2 linked regions of the Caenorhabditis elegans genome follow. The protein of the gene in region 2 purifies or fractionates together with the protein of the main gene of each other region. This does not show direct contact. Each region holds a gene or a part of one and is shown on either strand. Other genes may lie near its edges.

Region 1 (3,417 bases), on a different chromosome or scaffold from region 2:
TTCGAAGTCAGAGTGACCACTCGTCAAGCAAGGGAGAAAAAGCAAAGGTATGTTGATCATGATAACCTTTTTGAAATAATAATATTTGCAGTGCGGATCGGGAGACCAAAATTGACCTCGTGTTCAACAAGTTTGAGAGTGAACAATGATTACTATGTATTGACTTTAAATGAATATTTTTGTTCAGTTTCGTGTAGTTGCTCTTCATGTAAATTACAGGGCTTCTATCATATATCGATTTAACTACATCAGTCCTCATCTCGGTCTATCTGAACTGTGTGATATTAGTGAAACCATTGAATGTATCTAATTTTTGCTAATTAATGTCTTCAGGCCTTTGAATCCTTTCGTTTTGTGTGAGCAAGTTTTCAGATATATTTACAGGCTTTTGGGACAATGCTATGCAGTTCTATGGGGCATTTCAGAACATCTCCACAAGTTTTCGTGGTGGGACCTAAAATTGAAACACCTCGGAAGGCTAGAATGCTTCTAACTAATGACTGAATAATCTATGAAAAAATTATATATAACTGTAGTTCAAAAAAGTTTATTCAGTTAACAAATGCAAGAAATTGTATCACAAAACCATTTGAGGAATGTCTGAAAAATCACTTATAAATTGGCGAGAGAAATTTAAAAAAAAATCTCAATATCACAATCGGGAATATTATTTAGAGTGTGAAGCCTTAAATAGTATCAAAAATAATAGTTTCTCCTTCATAGATAACCTCATCAAGTTCAACATCAGTTTCAGAAATAGGAATTGTACCAATAATTTGCTCACGAAGAGCCAATCCTATCTTTTTTGGGGAGTTTTCTGGAAAATGTTTGTGATGAGTGGAGAAGAAGCGATCGTAATATCCTTTTCCATGACCACAACGAAGTCCATATGGTGAGAAGGCAACGCCGGGTGCAAGGATCAAATCCAGTGGTCCTGTAAGTACTTATAAATTGGAGTTATATTATTAAAAAGCAGTCACACCTGTTTCATGATAGCTTTGCCATTTCCATTTCGGTTCTGGCTGTCTGATTCCCCAAAGTGTTGAAGGAAGATTGTCAAAAGCAGTTTGATCCGGAACTCGAACCATATCCATTGCAGTTGAGCCCTTCGTGAACTGAAATTTTTACATTTGTGACTTCAATAAATTATACTTGCTGTACGTGCCTGTCTCCCTGGATTCATATATAATATCTGCCTAGGTACTAATTGCCTGCCTACTACAAACGATTACAGCCTTCATGTCTAGGGGCCTACTTTACGCCTACCTCGCAAGTGCCTTAGTTCTGCCTGGCTACGTGCCTGCCTGCCTTTATTCATAGCTCATATCTGCCTACTTCTTGTCGGCCTACCTGCTTTATTTCTGCCTGCCTATGTGCCTACCTACATGCCTACATCTTAACATCTATTGCGCATCTGTTTCAAAATAAATTTTACCTGTGGAATGAAAACTTCTTTTCCCATTTCCAACGCTTTTTGAATAATCGAATCAGTTTGTATTTCTCCCGATGTACTAACATAAACTGACAATCTCTTGCTCTCTTGAAACCATTTCGATTCAATTATTTTTTCAAAAACCGCCTCTGTTTGACGTTGAGTTTCTTCTTTCGAAATTTTTCCGAGCAATGTCTTCATAAACTGCCTGAGCTCTGATTTTACCTCTTTTATAGCACTCATCTGAAAATGTTGGTCAAAAATTTGTTTTCAAGAGATTCAGAAAACTGTTAGTGGCCTGTAGTTAATGGCTCGTTATTCAAATTAAGTTAAATACACAGTAATAGGCATAAATTACAAAATTTATTATGCACATGGAAATGTTTTGCCTTTCAATATGGTAAAATGCACGTAAGAATGATAAAGCTTGAATATGATTAAAACTTTGAAATAAAGCTTTTGATATCGTCAGGGATCGGTGGAATTTCTGGTTTCTCCTCGGGGTTCGTGAGTTTCACATTGAGAAGGCGAACTCGTAGCTCCATTTTCAGCATTCGTTCAACCATTGCATCGGTTTCACTGAAAATATTTCAATTGGTATTTTCGGGGCTTCCTATTCTTCAGGTTACTGTAACTACAGTAACCAATGTCTAGATACCTTTTAACTGCCTTGCTCCCAATCAATTCAGCAAGACCTTCAAGCCATATAACAGATTGAGTTTCATCGGATGTCAATGCCATTAAAACTTCGCCTTCTTTCATATCATTTGTTGTTTTTAATTGTACACGAATCCCTCTTAACATTTGTGTAGATGGAGAAGAAGTGAATCGAGATGAGCTTGCTTTTCTATCAATCTCATCATTATTTGTTACATCAGCAATATCTTTGATCCAAACTGAAAATAAATTAATTTATTATTTGAGAACTAATTCAATATTCCCCCAACCTTGCCGAATATCATCTCTCTGCACACCTTCCACATAGTTCTCACCATCACATCCAGTTATAGTGAGCATTTTCTCCGATGCATCGAGCTTCCAATGCCAGAAGGCGAGCTTTGCGAGGGATTTACTTTTCTGTGGTTTTCGAAAAACGGCGCCTAACTTCAAATAGTTTAGATGATTTATTCGAACCAATTCCTCCATTTTTGGCCGCAATTTCGATTTTAGTTGTCTGAAAATATGTATACGAATAAGTTATTGGAATTTTCAGACTTACATCACAGCTTCACTATGTAATTGAATATTTTCCTTTCCCAATTGTTCCTCTCTCCAAATTTCTTGCATTGCCCTATACGAAAAAGTCTCCAAATCCGCAGATAGTTCTTCTACATCTTGTATTTCCCGTCTTTTCAGCACATGCCGTAACTGTTCCAGTACAACACACGCAACTTTCTCCATTTCACCTCCTTTTGCCTGCATCTCACGCCATGTTCGATGGAAAAGGTGTACAATACATGCGAATACAGCTGGAAATGGAGTCTCCGTGGAAAAGAGAACTACAATCAAACGATCCAACTCATCACGACCAGGTATTACTCTGAACAATTCTGCGGCAATGTCACAGCACCTGAATTTAAAAAATCATCAGAACATCTTTACGTTTGCAAAAAAACCTCATCCACATTGGAATCAGTTGCCATTTTCCTCCTTCAATCCTCATTGTATTCTCCGAAATTAGCATTCTCAGATCTTGCGGACTTTTTTCTGCAAATTGAACCATCGAAATTGCAGCCAACCGTCCACATCGGTGTTCCCCAATTTGTGATTTCCACATTTCTCTGATCTCCTCGGAAACATCCTCACTGGATTCAATATCAAGAATTTTCTGAACTTCAGCATCAGTAGGAGGTGAAGTTTCATATGCACTAATCAGACTCCTTTGAACCTCAACAAGTTGTTCAATAGCATTCAGATTTCGAACACCACCACCACCACGTAGAAGAGAACTGTGTACAGCATTACGGAATGGAACGACTTCTAAA
Region 2 (4,628 bases):
CCAACATGCCCATATTCCGCGCAATTTGAAAATTTCGGGTCCCGCCACGCGGGTTACTGTAGCACCGATTTCAGCTGTGTCGGTGGGGCAAATTGCATGGAATATGGGCAATTGCATGGAATATGTCAGGGGTCATTTGAAAGCTGGAGACGTGGAGAATTCGAATTTTCGAGGTTTTTTGGGGGGAAATTGAATTTTCAGTGGGATTTTTTGAAAAATCCATGAATTTGAGCCATTTTTCGCGGCGGGTTTTCAGTGAAAAACCCGTACTAATTTCGAGTTGTGGCCAAATATCACACATCCAAAGAACTTCTCGATTTCTGGACATAATTCCAGGCAGTAGAAGCTGTGTTTCTCCGTCGAAAATTCGAGATTCATAGGCCGGGCGGATTCGTTTGTATTTTCTCACAATCTGCAAAAAAAATGGAATTTTAGGATGAAAATTGGGGATTTTTTCGAATTTTCTGCATGAAATTTGCAAAAATTTGCAGTTTTTTAACGGATTTTTGCATCAAAATTCGGAATTTCGTGGATTTTTTTTCAAATTTTCAGTGGAAAATGTAAAAATTATTCAGTGTCTAGTCATTTTTCGACGAAAAAGTGGAAAAATTTGGTAGTTTTTCAGGTTTTTCAATGAAAAATTTAATTTTTCACGAATTTTTAAAAGACTTTTTTCAAAATTTCAGTGAAAAAAGCGAATTTTTGAATATTATTTGGCGGAAAATTCAAAAAATTCAAATTTTTAAATATTTTTTGGCGGGAAATTCAAAAAATTCAAATTGTTAAATATTTTTTGGCGGGAAATTCAAAAAATTCAAAATTTTGAATATTTTTTGGCGGAAAATTCAAAAAATTCAAATTTTTAAATATTTTTTAGCGGAAAATTCAAATTTTTGAATATTTTTTTGGCGGGAAATTCAAAAAATTCAAAAAAAACTGTTTTTTTCTGATATTTTCACCGCAAAAACGGGATTTTCACTGAAAAATCCAGAATTTCATAGAAATTGATGAGTTTTAGTCATTTTTCTTAGATTTTTTCCAAAATTTCAGTGAAAAAATCGAAAAACTCGGTTTTTTTTTCGAATTTTCACCGCAAAAACGCGGGTTTTCACTCGTTTTTCTCCAAATTTTCACTGAAAAATCCAGAATTTCTTCCATTTTCACCTCAACAGACATTCCTTCATCATCAGTTGGTTCCCAGTCAATTGTTTGACCGAATACAAGAGTCTCGTCGATTTGCATTGATTTTTCGAGGCGCATATTTCCACTGAAAATGTCATTTTCCGCTTAATTATCGATTTTTTCCGGTTTTTTTTCCGATTACCTGTACACATTTGAGACTTGTTTCGTTTTTGTGCGTTGTGTAACCACTGGAATCATTTTAAACTGCTTTACGGTCTGAAAAGCGTGAAAATTTTCGTTTTTTTCGGGCCAGAATTAGGCCAGAAGCCTGAAAACTACTCATTTTTGTGCATTTTCACTGCGAAATTCGCATTCAGAGCACTTTTTTACTCCTATTTTGCACAGTTTCGCTCGATTTTAAGAAACTGTGTAATTTGTCGTGGGATCCTCGGTGTTTGCGTACTTTTGGGGCTACAGTAACCCGGAAAATTGAAATTTCGCGATAGAAAGCTGGGAAAACACGATTTAGGGGTAAAATTGGCTGGGGAATTCGAAAATCGAACTGAAAACCTTTTTTTTTTCAAAAATTGAAAATTTGTGCATATAATTTTACAAATTTTATAGAAAAACTCGAAAACTCGGAATTTTTACGATTTTTCACTGCTAAATTCGAATTCAGAGCACCAATTTACCCCTATTTTGCATATTTTCGCAAATTTTCAAAAAACTGTGCATTTTGTCGTGGGATGCTCGGTGTTTGCGTACTTTTGGCGCTACAGTACCCCGGGAAATCCAAATTTGAGCTAGAAGCCTAGGAAAACGCGAAAAATTCGAAAATCGTGAAATTTTGATGAAAAATCGTATTTTTTTCCAAAAATTTCCAAAATTCCAGTTAAAAACCTCGGAAAACAAAAGTTTTTCGGAAAAATTAGCTTGAAATCTCAAAAATTCGGTTTTGAGCCATTTTTCAGAGGATAATTCCCAAATTTTTACAATAATTTCGAAAAAAACAGTAAATTCCAGCAGTTTTAGGTTAAAACTTGCAAATTTTCGAAATTTTTTTTTAGATTTTACGACAATTTGCACAAAAATCGGAAATTTTCGGTTTAAAGGTCGGGAAATTGCGTAAAATATCTAAAAAATCGGGAAAATCGAAATTTCGAATTTCCCGGGGTACGGTAGCGCCAAAAGTACGCAAACATCGAGCATCCCACGACAAAATGCAGTTTTCCGAAATTTTGTGAAAATATGCAAAATGGGGGTAAATTGGTGCTCTGAATTCGAATTTAGCACTGAAAAATCGTAAAAATGTCTAGTTTTCGAGTTTTCCTGAAAAAAAATTATAAAATTATGCAAAATTTTCAATTTTCGAAAAAAAAAGTCGAGTTTTTACTGAAAATCTCAGGCCCAGAAGTACGCAAAAACCACCAAAACACTGGATTTCACGACAATTTGCACAAAAATCGGAAATTTTCGGTTTAAAGGTCGGAAAACCTCTGAAAAATCAGGAAAATGCTCAAAAAATTAAAAAAAAAAATCGATTTTTCACTCAAATTACAAATTTCGGGGGTACTGTAGCCCCAAAAGTACGCAAACACTACAAAAACACTAGATTTCACGACAATTTGCACAAAAATCGGCAATTTTCGGTTTACAGGCCGGAAAATTGCGCAAAACTCCTCAAAATGCTCCAATTTTTCAAAGAAATTCAAATTTTCACTCAAATTTCTTCGAATTTCGGGGGTACTGTAGCTCCAAAAGTACGCAAACACCGAAATTTTGCGAATTTTCTGGTTTTTTACCTCATAATTTTGATCAAAAACCAATGCCATTTGGTAAACCATTCCCTCGACGGGTTTACTGTTGGTGAGCACAATGCCACGTGGCATTGTACGGCTGAAAAAAAATTTCTTAAAAAAATTCTGAAAAAATCAATAATTTTGTAAAACAAAAAAAAATATTGCAAAGTCAGGGAGAATCAACAACAAAAAAAAACTGAAAAAATTGGAAAAATTCGGAGAAAAAAAAATTTAATTTTGAATTACAAAAAAAAGAAGCACAATTGAAACAAGTATTGATTGAAAACCACAGAAATTATCGATTTTTTCAGAAAAATATCGATTTTTAGAGAAAATTATCGATTTTTTCAGAAAAATTATCGATTTTTTCAGAAAATATCGATTTTTTTCAGAAAATTATCAATTTTTTTCAGAAAATTATCGATTTTTTCAGAAAAATATCGATTTTTTTGGAAAAATATCGATTTTTCAAAAAAAATATCGATTTTTTTTTTGGAAAATTATCGATTTTTTCAGAAAATTATCGATTTTTCAGAAAAATTTCGATTTTTTTTAGAAAATTATCGATTTTTCAGAAAAAATATCGATTTTTTTTTTCAGAAAATTATCGATTTTTCAGAAAAATATCGATTTTTTCAGAAAAAATATCGATTTTTCGAATAAAATAATAAATTAAATTTGAATAAAAATATAAAAATAAATAAAAATGCATTTATTTCCTGGATTTTTCGCGTTTTTCGCGTCGAATTGGAGAAGTTGAACCGGATGATGAAGAACTGAAAAAATATCGGTTTTTTTTTCGGCGGAAAATTTAAATTTTGGATATTTTTTGGCGGAAAATTCAAAAATTCAAATTTTTGATCATTTTTTGGCGGGAAATTCAAAAATTCAAATTTTTGATCATTTTTTGGCGGGAAATTCAAAAATTCAAATTTTTGATCATTTTTTGGCGGAAAATTCAAAAAATTCAAATTTTTGAATATTTTTTGGCGGTATATTCAAAAAATTCAAATTTTTCATCACCGAACCTTGATCTATCCCGTCTGTTGCTCTTTTTCGCCCGTTTCTTATCATATTTATCACTATTTGTTCGGGATTTTCGATCAATTGGTGAATATGTCAGACTTCTGGATCGTGATCTATCCCGCCGGCGTTCCGGGGACCGATGACGTGATGTTCGAGAGGAAAGTGATGGAGGAGATCGATTACGGTGATTAAATCTGAAAATTTCAACATTTTCAGCGTTTTTCTTGTGAAAAATCGAGTTTCTCGCCATTTTTTACATCGAAAACCTGTTTTTCAGAGCTTAGCCGCAAGAATTAAGAAAGTTGTGCATTTTGTCGTGAGGCCCTCGGTGTTTGCGTACTTTTGGGGCTACCGTACCCCAGAAAACAAAATTCGAGCTAGAAGCCTATTGAAGGATGTTCTAGGGTAGAAATCGATGGAGAATTCGAATTTTCTACTGAAAATTTGTGAAAATCCAAATTTTTGGCTTAAAAATGAAAATTTGGGCATAGCTTCCGCATCTCCGAGTGACAAATGTGCTCTATTGTCAAATTGTTGGCAGAAATACGGTATTTATTCACATTTTCAGCCTAATTTAAGACTGAAAATGTGAATAAATGCAGTTTTTATGCCAAAATCTGAGAAACGCACAAGTCACAGGGGAAATGCTCAGAGAGGGGATTTTCGGGAAATTTTTGGCAT

What was found. The genes of interacting proteins can lie anywhere in the genome.
Region 1: the proteins of rexd-1 (region 2) and Y106G6E.4 fractionate together in Caenorhabditis elegans (co-fractionation; one large-scale study listed by BioGRID). This does not show direct contact.

The regions. Positions count from the first base shown.
Region 1 is NC_003279.8:10,221,104-10,224,520, forward strand, and holds Y106G6E.4 (putative 5-formyltetrahydrofolate cyclo-ligase), read right to left. Parts: upstream 1,676-3,417; coding exon 1,436-1,675; intron 1,116-1,435; coding exon 983-1,115; intron 935-982; coding exon 687-934; 3' UTR 539-686; downstream 1-538. Other genes in the region: ced-12 (Cell death abnormality protein 12), read right to left, coding at 1,870-2,011, 2,091-2,328, 2,380-2,606, 2,652-3,002, 3,049-3,417. UniProt on the Caenorhabditis elegans protein: Contributes to tetrahydrofolate metabolism. Helps regulate carbon flow through the folate-dependent one-carbon metabolic network that supplies carbon for the biosynthesis of purines, thymidine and amino acids.
Region 2 is NC_003281.10:1,832,903-1,837,530, reverse strand, and holds the start of rexd-1 (Minor tail protein), read right to left. Parts: upstream 3,019-4,628; 5' UTR 3,012-3,018; coding exon 2,925-3,011; intron 1,399-2,924; coding exon 1,325-1,398; intron 1,268-1,324; coding exon 1,165-1,267; intron 413-1,164; coding exon 271-412; intron 1-270. Other genes in the region: Y39A3CL.7 (uncharacterized protein), read right to left, coding at 3,634-3,697, 3,950-4,141.